Linked DNA regions of Sus scrofa. The protein of the gene in region 2 binds, or shares a complex with, the protein of the main gene of each other region. Links are inferred from orthologs where the notes say so. Each region holds a gene or a part of one and is shown on either strand. Other genes may lie near its edges. The genes, in order: lysine-specific demethylase 6A-like and NCOA6.

What was found.
Region 1: NCOA6 (region 2) and lysine-specific demethylase 6A-like share a complex: the UniProt entries of both Homo sapiens proteins name them as parts of the MLL2/3 complex. The link is inferred for Sus scrofa from reciprocal best matches to the Homo sapiens genes NCOA6 and KDM6A.

The regions. Positions count from the first base shown.
Region 1 is NC_010462.3:9,084,322-9,091,182, reverse strand, and holds the start of lysine-specific demethylase 6A-like, read left to right. Parts: upstream 1-3,212; 5' UTR 3,213-3,561; coding exon 3,562-3,713; intron 3,714-3,905; coding exon 3,906-3,969; intron 3,970-6,861. UniProt on the Homo sapiens protein: Histone demethylase that specifically demethylates 'Lys-27' of histone H3, thereby playing a central role in histone code. Demethylates trimethylated and dimethylated but not monomethylated H3 'Lys-27'.
Region 2 is NC_010459.5:38,217,641-38,224,168, reverse strand, and holds the start of NCOA6 (nuclear receptor coactivator 6), read left to right. Parts: upstream 1-2,267; 5' UTR 2,268-2,471; exon of another isoform or gene 2,472-2,476; intron 2,477-6,528. UniProt on the Homo sapiens protein: Nuclear receptor coactivator that directly binds nuclear receptors and stimulates the transcriptional activities in a hormone-dependent fashion. Coactivates expression in an agonist- and AF2-dependent manner.

The DNA.
Region 1 (6,861 bases), on a different chromosome or scaffold from region 2:
CAAACCTCTCAAATCCAAATCCATATTTAGTTCTCTCATCAAGGTCCAATGACACCAGTAAGAACTGGAAACACTGGTAAAAAATTAGGTTTGCTGTAAAGACTTTTGAAACTTTTTTTTTTGGTCTCTCACGCAACGTGTAAGTTCCTGGGCCAGAGATCAAAAACAGCACAGCAGTGACCTGAGCTGCTGCAGTGATAATGCCAGATCCTTAATTTACTGAGCCCTAGGGAACTTCTTGAAAGTATTTTTGATGCTAATATAAAGGACAAACTTTAACTGTATGTATAAATCTAGTCATGATTTTGTCATGTGATCTTTTAAGATCTGTATAAACTATGACCTAAATATTCCACAATATCTGTATTTCTGCTTGTGCAAATGTATTTAAAAATGCCAAAAATTCCTCAGTCTTGAGGGTCACCTTATTGCAGTTAATTTACTCATTACAGACATTCTGAGGAATCTGTCTGTAATCATTAACAAATAGAGTAAGGAAAATACAGTAGAAGTGTTTCAGAGGAAGCAATTAATTAGACAGTAAACTTTTTTTTTTTTTTGGTTTTTTTGCTATTCCTTGGGCCGCTCCTGTGGCATATGGAGGTTCCCAGGCTAGGGGGCGAATCGGCACTGTAGCCACCGGCCTACGCCAGAGCCACAGCAACGTGGGATCCGAGCCACGTCTTTGACCCTACACCACAGCTCATGGCAATGCCGGATCCTTAATCCACTGAGCAAGGGCAGGGACCGTACCCGCAACCTCATGGTTCCTAGTTGGATTCATTAACCACTGCACCACGGCGGCAACTCCTAGACTATAAACTACTAAACTAGAGGTAGTACAGTTACTATTCTTCAAAGAGCAATGAAAATACGGGTGCAAAATACTAGGGATTCCAGAGCTCCTCATTAAATGTGTTAGAATTTATTGAGTCATCTATCTCTAAATGAAACAACATAATTTGTCTTAGGACTTAGACAAGTAAAGTAATTCTTTCAGCAGAGAAAGAATTCAGTAACAGAGTGACAGGTAAGAAGAGTTTATCAGCGTTCCCGTCTTGATGCAGTGGACAACAAACCTGACTAGGAACCATGAGGTTGCATGTTCAATCCCTGGCCTCTCTCAGCAGGCTGAGGATCTGGCATTGCTGTGAGCTGTGGTGTAGGTCACAGATGCTGCTCAAATCCTGCGTTGCTGTGGTTATGGAATAGGCCAGAGGCTATGGCTCTGATTTAGCCCCTAGCCTGGGAACCTCCATGTGCTGAGGTTTCGGCCCTAAAGAGCAAAAAAAAAAAAAAAAAAAAAGAAGAAGAAGAAAAGGGTTTATCAGTACAGGACATTTCTGAGATTTGTGTGAAATACAAGGAGGAAGGCAAAGGAATGCCAAGCTGAGAACTTAATAGCTACAGTTCTAAAATCAAAGGAAAAGTGGGGAAGGGGATTAAGACCTCCTTCTTCCTCCTCCTCTAAATAGTAGCAGATATCAAGCTTCCATCATCAAGTTTGGGGGGGGGAGTTTTCTTGTCCCTGTCTGGTCAAACTGGGACTGTCATGGCACAATGGAAATGAGCAAAAAGGTGATAATACACACTAACATATGGGAAATCAGCTCAGATTTCAGTAGACTGCCACTTTTCCCTATGTTTTTGTTTTTAGTGTGTACAGAGAAGCATGTCCTAGGAATCACTGGCTTACTAACCTCACTAAACAAGATGTAGGTCTCATTTTACTATTCCTTTATCATCTGGAGGCATATTTCATGCTTCTGTTCCATGGTTTTGCTGCTAAGCAAGCCTGCTTTCTTGCATTACCATTAATTTATATACCCCCCAATTTTTTTTTTTTAACAATCCCCTAATAGGATCAACTACTTAATCACCTGTTTCTGCCCTTTAGTCTGTAACTATCATAAACTGTCCTCCTCTTTATGTAAATCAAAGTTTAAATACATTTTGTCTGTTTTAGATCAAGGGAAATTTTCCCAAAACTAAGTATTTCAGGCAACTATTTTTAAAAAATAAGCATTTTCCTAATCTTACAAGTATTTTTTAAGATACTTATTAAAAGTTAGCATTTTTCAGGAGCTCCCGTCCGTGGCTCAGCTAAAAGGAATCCAACTGGGAACCATGAGGTTGCGGTCCGATCCTGGGGCTTGCTCAGGTTAAGGATTTGGCCATGTGGTGAGCTGTGGTATAGGTCATAGACCCAGCTTGGATCTGGCACTGCTGTGTCTGGGGCACAGGCCCAGCAGCAACAGCTCAGATGCGAACTCCACCCTGGGAGTGGGGTTGGGTGTGACCTTAAAAAGCAAAAAAAAAAAAGAAAGGGATTTTCCCAATTAATAACAACTGGAGGTACAGCGCAGATGATATTGCATAAAGTATCACACAAGAGTTGCCCGTTTTAAGAAAAGTAATTTACAGAGGCCTAATTTTCCCCACAATTGTATTATTTACAACCTGACAAAAGCAAAATAAGAAAGTATTGTTACGTTTTGTTTTCTAAGGCTTACAGCATCTCCAGTTAGGGTCTTAAATATTTCTTCGCAGCTTGGATCACCCGCCCATTTTGGGATCAGTGCGGGAGGCACCAACAACGTTTGGAGTTCTAGCTGGTCAGCCAGACTCCCCGAAAGGCTGCTGGGATCTGGTGGGTGGGCTGTGGTCTCAAGGTTCTTACCTCTCCCTTTACGACCCGGGATAGGAAACCCGGCAGGAAGAGTTAGTTAGGGCCGCGTGGTTATTATTTTCCAAAGGTGCCAAAAGTCTTGTCTTCCAGGATCGGAGGTTCAAGTGTTACACTTGTTATGATCCAGGTGGTGAGAGTTTCCATAATATTACAACGCCTGTGTCAGTGCCGCAGCTGAAAAAGAGCTATGAGTCCTCCATCTGTGCTGTCGTCTGCCGCAGTATCTTCTAGGTTTCAATCTTCTCCATCATTCCCTTCCTCAGCTTGTTATTAACGAGGCCGAGACACTCCATTTTTTACAACGATGTAGAACAGTTTGCTGTACATGTTGCACACCCTTTTCCAAATCAGCGAGTCCGCTAACCAATTTACCCACGAAAGTTTGCGCCCCTTCCGGTTCCTGTACGGGTCGGCGGTGACTTCGTGGGAGTGATTGGGTATCTAGCAAGTTCGGTTGAGCCGCAAGTGACGTGAGTCAACAAAGGTCACGTGAGGCAAGCCCTTCGCATCAATTGGCGGCGCCGGGTTTAGGGGGTGGGGGCGTCACGGTTACTCGGGGTTTGCCCGGTGACACGATTGCAACTTTGTGCGGGTGCTGGCGAAGTTTGTAAGTCTAAGATAGTCTTCCATTACAGCGGGCTTCCGCGTTTTCTGCTGTCATCGCATACTCCATGATGTGACCTCGGCAGCCGAGTTGCGCAGCGTGGGTATTCGCTGTTTTTGCTATCAGCTTGGGCTTTTTCATCACCGCCACCTGCGTTGCTTGCTATAAAGTTGGTTTGCCTGTGTGTAGCGCCAAGACCTTCTTTTCGCGTCCTGGACTGGGGTTTGGTACATTTCGGCCTTGAGAATTTTACATTTGTTGCGTTTCAATGAAATCCTGCGGAGTGTCGCTCGCTGCCGCTGCAGCTGTTTTCGGTGATGAGGAAAAGAAAATGGCGGCGGGAAAAGCCAGCGGCGAGACGAAGGAGAGTTCCCTCAGCTTGACAACCGAAGAGAAGGAGGCGCTTAGCGGAATGGACAGGTACGGACCGCTGTTACTCTCCCACGTGGCTACCGACCGGCTGCAACCGCTCATCGGGGTAACTTGAGCTCGAGTTACCTCTGGTGGCGGCGTCGTCCAAGTGGTTGCTGCCACCCGTGCCTCGGGATGGGGAAGGGACCGGTCAGTGGCTTTACTTACGCGTTAATAAGTTGTCTGTATTTTCTCCCATAGCCGCCTCTTTGGGTTCGTGAGCCTGCATGAAGATGGCGCCAGGACTAAAACTCTGTTGGGCAAGGTAAGGCAGTCTCGGGGGCCAACGCAGTCCCCCGCTTGTGCCCTGTTGTCTTTGCCACCTGCAGCCACTGAGGCGCGTTGTGGCAGAAAACGAAAAATTATTTTGCTCTCTTCTCACCTGGATACCTCGCTTACTGCCTGGCAAAATTCTGTATTGTTGCTTGAGCAGCAGAGACGTCGGGGTTTTCGGGCAACGCCTAACGGTTATTTTGGAGCATTTTCTTTAGGAAATGATTCCTGAATTTCAGTATCACAGAGTCGTGAACGTGTGCAGATTGAAATTTTTCAAATTCCCATGCGCTGTTCTTTTTTTTTTTGTTGTTTTCTTTTTTTCCCCTTTGACGGTCGGCTTGAGAGATCTGCTTTTAAGTGATCGTTTTAAACTTTAATTACTCATGTTCTCAGAAGGGATAGTTTGTATATCCTTTGCAACCGTGAAGAGTTTGAATTGGGTATTGAACCAGTATACTGATTGGTGTGTTTTCGAACCGGGTAAACTGTTTGTTTGGGTTTAGCTGCTTAGATTTATTGCTGACAATGCCAATAATCCCCCGCCCCCCCCCCGCCCCCAGCACCTTGTTTTTGGTGTCTGACATAGACGGGCGAGTTTTCTCGGTTTATCTGTGTAAAAAGTTATCGGCACTGTCACTTAGTTAATGGCTGCCCCATCGGCCAAGATGGCGGGAAATAGTGGGTGGGGAAATGACGACGTGAGTTTTGAAGGAGGGAAGAGATATAAACAAGGAAACGCTAGCGGTAAGCGTGCTTTTGCATTGGTTACTGTGTCTTGATGGTGCATAATAAAAATTTAGCACTGATATTTAAAAGTAGAATTCTTAGATTACCAAGCTTTACAACAGCATTCGTGAACCTAAAATGTGCTTTGCAACCTGGGATCTATTTAGTCGTAGTAAACGATTGCACAAATACCATGTAATCTCAGTTGCACAAATACCATGTAATTTCAATCTTCTGAGCAAAATCTAGTTAAAATATATTTTTCTTTCATTTCATTCCATGGAAGGGGGTCATATTTCCATTAGATATTTACTTTTCTAACCGAGACTGGTAGCTGTGAATTTGTCTTACCTTTTGCTCCATTTCAGAAGGACGTATTAAGTATGTATGCTTTTTTTGTTTTGGTTGCACCCACAGGCATATAAAAGTTCCCTGGATCCTTTAACTCATTTTTGCCAGGCAGGGGATGGAACATGCACCTCCACAGCAATCTGAAGTGCTGCAGTGTTATTTTTATTGCACTGACTATAGGTAGAACGCTAATAAATTTTATTTTTAAGTTATTTTTGACAGTTTCTGTTGTAGTTCAGCAGTAATAAGCCCAGCTAGTGTTCATGAGGCTGAAGGTTCAATCCCTGACCTTACTTGGTAGATTAAATATCGGGTGTTGCGGTGAGCTGTGATGTAGGTCCATGGCTGCAGGTCTGATTTCCACCTCTAGCCTGAGAACTATGCTGCAGGTGTGGCCTAAAAAAATTTTTTTTTCTTGTCGAGAATTCTGAGCTGTACTTGAATTTATGTAATCTTAAATTTTTTTTTAACCTGTAATCTCACTTTTATCTTTGTTTTTAAGGCAGAAAATGACCATGAGATAGTGTAATAATTTGTCATCCAATCCATTTAATAAAACTCGAATTAAGCTTTGGTCATGTAGGTAATTATTACTCCGTTAACCTTATCACTGGGAGAGTAAACAGTGACTTTCTCTGATAGTATTTAAGCAGCAGTGAAGTGAGCCAGAGCAATGATAATGCCGGACCCTTAACTGCTAGGCCACCAGGTATTGCCTATTTTTTTTTTTCTTAATTTTTATTAAAAAACTCAGTATTTAAATATTTTATCGAAGTTCCCATCGTGGCTCAGCTAGTTAAGAACACAAACAGTATCCATGAGGTTGTGGGTTCAATTCCTGGCCTCTCTCAGTGGCTAAGAATTAAGGATCCAACATTACCCTGAGCTATTGGCCATAGGGCCAGATGGACTTTGGTTCTTGCCTTTTTGTGGCTGTGGTGTAGGCTGGTAGCTGCAGGTCTGATTCAATCCTAGCCTGGAGACTTCTGTATGCTGCATGTGGTTTTGTTGTTGTTTTTTATTTTTTTAATTTTTTTTGGTCTTTTTTTTGCTATTTCTTGGGCCGCTCCTGCGGCATATGGAGGTTCCCAGGCTAGGGGTTGAATTGGAGCTGTAGCCACCGGCCTACGCCAGAGCCACAGCAACGCGGGATCCGAGCCGCGTCTGCAACCTACACCACAGCTCACGGCAACGCTGGATGCTTTACCCACTGAGCAAGGGCAGGGATCGAACCTACAACCTCATGGTTCCTAGTCGGATTCGTTAACCACTGCACCACCATGAACTCCCAGAATAACTTTCGAAGTAACTTTTTAAAAAACAACAGTTCCCGTCGTGGCACAGTGGTTAACGAATCCGACTAGGAACCATGAGGTTGCGGGTTCGGTCCCTGCCCTTGCTCAGTGGGTTAACGATCCAGTGTTGCCGTGAGCTGTGCTGTAGGTTGCAGACGCACCTTGGATCCCACGTTCTCTGGCTCTGGTGTAGGCCGGTGGCTACACCTCTGATTAGATCCCTAGCTAGGAACCTCCATGTGCCACTGCAGTGGCCCTAGAAAAGGCAAAAAGACCAAAAACAGAAAAAAAAAGAAATTCTGATAGACTGAAAAAATCTTGACTGTAAAGTAATGTTATTTCATGTTGTAGAGGCTTAATTTTTAACTTGTGTTGAAGTTGAATATACTGATGGAAATTTGAAAATGGGTGAATCTATTACTTTAATTTTTTGTTTTATTTTTTTTTGCTCTTTAGGGCTGCATCCATGGCATATGAAGGTTCCCAGGCTAGGGGTGGAACCAGAGCTA
Region 2 (6,528 bases):
TGCATCTTCATGGATACTAGTCAGGTTCTTAACCTGCTGAGTCACAATGGGGACTCCAATGTTAATTTTATATCTAACTTTTTGAGGAAATTTCAAACTGTTTATAACACAGGAGCATAGGTAAAAATTTATTACGTATACACTTAAGCTGTTTTCATTTTCCTGTATGTAAATCATACCTCACTTTTTCAAAGTAAAAAGAAAAACCTTAAACAAAAATCTTCCTAGGCTCTTGTACAAATCCTTTCGATGTTAATTTCACGGGCTCAAGTATCTGAAGTGCCCTCCTTTGGCTGCCTATGTTTTTCATTATCTTTCTCCACACTTTTGGGGATTCACACACAACAAATATTTATTGAGCATCTCCTTTGTGCCAGGCACTTTGCTATATCATGAGGAAACAGCAGTAAATAAGATATATAGTCTTCCTCCTAATTTGGTCCACAGCCTCGTGAAGACAGGCAATAAACAACCCAGTAATCCTACTGAGGGCAAGGGGAACCTGTCTGGGGAGTTCTCAGGGAAGGTGTACTTGGCGTAGTGATGTTTGAACTAGGATCTGAGGCTGATGAATTATCCAAGGAGGGGGGATATTTCAGGTGGAAGAATCAGTATGTGCAAGGTCCTGAGAAGAGAGGAAGTACAATGTGTGAAGGTCAGTGTAGTTTCAGCCACTCCAGAGAGGGGAAGAGGGCCTGAGAGAAGTCTGGAGATGTGGGAAGGGCAAAAGTGAGACAGATATTTGGTCTTTATCTTTCTTTTTTTTTCTTTTTACGGCTGCACTGCATTCTGAAGTTCCCAGGCTAGGGGTCAAATTGGAGCTGCAGCTGCCGGCCTGTATCACAGCCACAGCAACACCAGATAGCCACATATGCGACCTACATCACAGCTTGCAGCAATGCTAGATCCTTAACCCACTGAGCAAGGTAAGGAGTTGAACCCACATCCTTATGAATGCTATGTAGAGTTCTCAGCCCTCTGAGCCACAATGGGAACTACTATTCAGCCTTTATCTTTTGGAAGTTCCCAGGCCAGGGATCGCACCCACACCACAGCAGCAACCCAAGCCACTGCAGTGACAACGCTGGATCCTTAACCTGCTGCGCCACAAAAGAACTCCCATTTGGCCTTTATCTTAAGAGCAGTGTGGAGCCATCACATAGTTTTTTTTTTTTTTTTTTTTTTTTTGCTTTTGCTTTTTTTAGGGCCACACTTGCAGCATAGGGAAGTTCCCAAGCTAGGGGTCGAACCAGAGCTACAGATGCCAGCCTAAGCCACAGCTATAGCAATGCAGGATCCTTAACACACGGAAGGAGGCCAGGGATGGAATCTGCATCATCATGGAGCCTAGTTGGGTTCCTTAACCGCTGAGCCATGAAGGGAACTCCCCATCAAACAGTTTTAAATACAGGAGAGGCATGATCAGATTTCTTAGAAACATTACTCTAACAGGAGGGTGGAAAAGAGATCGAAGGGGAGCTAAGGAGAACATGAAAAGGCCTTAGATGGCTACTTCACCAGTCCGGGCACACACAGAGTGTGTGCTCAATAAATATTTGTGGAATGAAAGGATTCTTTTTCTTAGATAAGACTAGTGTGCCTGAGCTGTGCAATCTAATATGATGCTTGTAACAGACCTTTAATTTCCATTTTATAGATGAGAAAGCTGAGTTCAGAGGCAGAGAAAATCACATAGCTATCGAGTGAAAGCCAGATCCGAATGCAGGCCTATGACAGACATCAGTGCTGGGTAGGCCTTCCTACAGTTGTGGAGAGGGGAGGGGGCCACACTCCCTTGTACCTTCAGAGCTTGGTAGGGCAACTGTGATGGGAGAAAGTAGAGAGGGACTTACAAGCAAATAATAAAGGCTAAAGTTTATCATCATTAACGTTATTACATACTATGTGTCAGGCACTGTGTCAAGCGCTTTCCATGCCTTCCTTCATTTCCTCTTTGCAAACACTATTATTATCTGTATATTTCATGTGCATAGATCGAGGCTTATGGAGAGTTGACCTGCCCAAGGACATTCAGCCAGAGGGCTCTTATAGGATTGTGCAGTGACTGCAAAGTGGAGGCAGAAGCCACTGACGACACTACCTCGTCGAGATACAAAACCAGCAGATCGCCACACTAAGCTCTATACCGAAGTGAGCGGGCGCGCGCTACCTCGCGCACTCGGAGACGTTTGGTCACGTGGCCAATTCCCCGCCCCTAGTCCGCCCCGCCCTCTCCCGCGCTCCCTCCCTCTCTCCCTCCCTCCCCCTCCCTCCCCGGCCCGGTCCGGCCCATCCCCCTCCCCGCCGGCTCCCTGAGGCCCAGCCGGGTCGGGCTGCGGGCGGCCGGGAGCCGACGGCCAGATAGACCCGCGCAGGCGAGGACGGACGGACGGACACACGGAGGGCCGCGGGCATCCACGGCCCGGGCCGGTGCTCCGAGGCCCGCCCGGGAGGGCTGGGGCCGCGCTCAGGTGAGGTGACGGCGACGCGGGCCCGTAAGGGGTGGGCCCGCCGGGCGTCCCTGGTGCTGGCCCGGTTAGCTTCGTGGGAAGGAGGCGCCGCCCGGGCCCGGCGCGGGAAAATGGCGCCGGCCGACCGTGGAGCACGGCCCCTGTGCGGGCCCGGCCCGGAGCCGCCCCGCCTGCCTGCCCGCCGCGCTCGTGTCCCCGTCGCCATGTTGGGGAGCGGGCCCCGGGCCTACGGGCGGGGGCGCTGGAGGGAGCGGGGGGCTTGGGCGGGATGGGGAGGGTGCAGGACAAGGTGTCTGGGGCGCTCAGGGAGTGCTGAGCCGGCCAGGGTCTGCACCGGGTGGCGCTCCAGGCCCGAAGAACTGGCGGGAGCCGGACGTGGGGTCGTGGTCGGGGTCGCGGAGAAGGGACGTTGGGTCCAAACGGAGCTGGGGTCTGGATCACTGGGGCTAGGAGAGCAGGATCTGGAGCTGGTTTAGGCAGTGTTCATGATCCCAGGCAGGTAGGGCGCGGAGGGGCGTGGGATCTGAGCTCAGGCTGTCAGGGCTGGGACAGTTCTTTGGGGTTGTGATTAGAAATGGGGGCCCTTTAGGTACAGACGCTGGTATCAGATTGGGGGCAGTCTTCGGAGTCTCAGGGCAAGTCCGTATAACTCCCAGGGGGCTGAGGACATATTTGCCCTCAGGATCCTCCACTCCTCATTGGGAAGAGGAACAGAATAAAGTAAGGCTTTGATGAGGAAAAGAGAAAAGGGGGACTGAGGTTTGGATGCAGGAGCTGGCCAGCAAGAGATGCGGAATGAAAGTGGTTGGCCAGAAGAGTCTCCATCAACTTTGGGAGTTTGTGTGTGTCTTTAAAAGGAGGGACCAGGCTGTTTGTGGGCGGTGACCCAAGGTGTCTTCCCAGGAAGGGAACAGCCCACTGTTTTAAGAGCAGGGTCACCTGGGGAGGTCATCCGAAAGGTGTTAGTGAAGCCAGTAGGAATGGTGCAGAGGAATGAATGTATAGTTCTTAGATCATGTAAGGATTTCAGATCATGTAGTGATTTTAGCTGAGACAGAAAGGAAAACATGACTTCTAAAGATCTAAGCAGTTAATGGCAGAAGAGGTACTGGAACTTAGCCTGCTGCTGTCTCATTCAACACATTGTCTTAGAGGAATTTGCTAGCTGGGAGAAATTGTTAGGGAGTCAAGCATGGCAGCATATGTCAAAGAATCATTAAATAATTTATTTTGTTTTTGTAATGAGTTTGTCTAGTACAAAAACTGAAAGGGATACAGGAGCCCAGTGGGTTAAGAATCTGACCACAGCAGCTTGGGTCGCTGCAGAGGTGCTGGTTCCATCCCTGGCCTGCACGGTGGATTGACGGATCCAGCATTGCTGCAGCTGTGGCTCACATTCTGTCCCTGGCAAGGGAAATTCCATGTGCTGGGGATGGGGCCATAGGAAACAAAACAAAACAACACTGAATAGGATACAAAAAAAGTATAGGTAACCAGCTATTTGATGAGAGAAGTTTCATTTGTCCAGAGAATTTATCTTTAGGACCCTTTTGACATCTAACTTTCTAGAGGTTTAAGAGCTGCTCCGTCTCTTTTAGGTGTTTACTAAACAGCAAAGGGACACAAAAAGCTTAAGAAGGCAATAGTAAACGATGGTAGAGACCCAGGATCTCTATCATGACCAAACTGTAATTGAAGTTTAATCATGGTAGAGAAGAATTCACAGTCCCCATGGGCTATGAGGGAATTCTGAGAGAAACTGCAAATTAGTCATATAAGTAATTCCAGGGCTCCCACATAACAAAAAGGACTTTCAACAAAAAGGTTATGAGGATGTTTGTAGCAATAAGATTTTCAGTATATGTCCAGTACCTGTATACAGCAACATAATTTATTTGTTTTGGGTCTCTCTATGCTGGAAGGCCTAACTTTGTCTATGCCCTTTAGCATCTAGCAAAGGTTATGGATTCTTCTCAGAATAGTTTTTAATTGCATAAAATAAAATACATTGGAGTATAGAGAAACCAATTAATATTGAAATACCTAAGTATACAAGTTGTGATATAATAATACAGATATATGTCCAATAATTATACTTTTAAAGATGTGATGAATATCTGTAATTTTTAAGATAGCTGTAACAACTGTAATATAAAGATATCTGTGATTACTGTGCAGAGACACAGATACTGCTAATACCAGATGGTTTATTGCCTACATTCATATTTGAAGAAAATAGTTCCTTTTGGTTAGAAGTCAGTGAAAATAAAGAGGTAATTTTTTTTCCTGTCCAAGTTCACAGATGCCCCTGAATTCTGTCTGTGGACTCCCATGTATGAACCTCAGGTTAAGAAACCACAAAGAATGTCTTCCATTCAAACCACATTTATTGTGCCCTAAGACATCTACTTAGGTCAACCACCATGCTAGGCTCTGAGGAGTCTTAAGGTCTTTATAGCAAGGCAGGGTGTTTTCACTTTGGATATTTAGTCCCATGAGAGAAGTGAACATGTAAACAATGACAGTTCAGGATGGTAAGCGCCAAAGGAGAGTTACATGAAGGATACAGATGTAGGTATGTAAGTAGGTATGTAGGTAGTAAGAAGGACACAGAAGAAGGTATGTCTCTGCTCTAGGAATCCGGGAAGGCTCTGTGAACAAGTGACCCTTGATGTGTGTCCTGAAGGGTAGAGTAGTTTGCCAGATGCAGAATTGGAGAGAAGAGCTTTCAGGTAAGGGCATGCATGGGAATGTAATGTAATGTGGCTGGAGCATAGTGTGTTGTGAGAGTGGTTGGAGATGAGACGGGGAAGGTTGTTTTGGGACCTGATTGTGAAGGACCTTGTTAAGGAATTTGGACTGAATCCTTGGATTTTAGAGAGGTAGTCAGAGTTTTCAAGGAGTTACAATGAGGTTTAATTTTTAGGGGATAAATGGATGTGTTTTGGAAGGAGCGTGAACAGGATAGCAGGGAAGTAGTCATGAGGGCCTGAACTAAGGCAGAAACTGTAAGCATTGAACAGAGTTAGAATTTTCACGTATTGATATAATTACGTTGTGAGTAGTGAGAGAGAGGGTGAATTTTTTTACATTTCTAGTTTGGGATGATGGCTGTCAAAGAAGTTTAAAAAAAGGTTGAAAGGAAAATGAGAGAGAATTGTCTCAGATAATAAGGGAAAGATGTTTTTGGTAGAGTAATAGACTTTTGGAAGCCATTGCAAAGCTGTCAAGAGTGATGTCGTTTATTGCTTAAGAAAATCAGAGGTGTCAACAGTGAAAGACTGGAAGTATTCCTAGAGTGTAAGAAATATCACAGCTGTCAGTGTCAGAGGTTGGCAAACTATGGTCCATGGATCAAATCTATTCCACCACCTGTTTATGTAAATAAAGTTTTATTGCAACATAGGCACACATTAATTTACATATTGCCTTTGGCTGCTTTCACGCTGCCAGTGGCAGAGTTAAGTAGTTGTGACAGAGAATATTTAGCTCACAAAGCTGAAAATGTTTACTTTCTGACCGTTTGCTCATGATGTTTGCCATTCCCTAATCTATGTAGCTGAATGTTGGACATTAAACTTCTGATTTACCATCCAGTTCCTATATGATGGCACTGTCTTTCTGGTTTGGTCCCTCATACTCTGTGTACCTGCAGCATGACATAAACCCTTGAATATTTTATATTGGTCAGTGATGCCAAGATCTACTGTTTCGGGGTCCACTGTGTGGCAGCTGTGGTTAGTGCCAAGTTTTCACAGCCATTCTAGGGCTCGTTTCGTCGGTTTTCTATTGGGTTATCTTTTTCAAAAGATTTCTTTATATTTTCTGATTATTAATCCTTTGTTGGTTGTATTATTACAGATTTCATTTCCGAATTTGTTGTTAATTTTTTAAACTAGTTATCTTTTGTTAAAAAGAAGGTCTGGATTTTAATTAAGTTTATCAATCTTTTCCTCCCCCAAGATTTTGAAGTTATTCTTTTTTATGGCCATGCACACAGCATTTGGAAGTTCCCAGGCCAGGGATTGAATCTGAGCCTCAGCTGCAACCTACACCA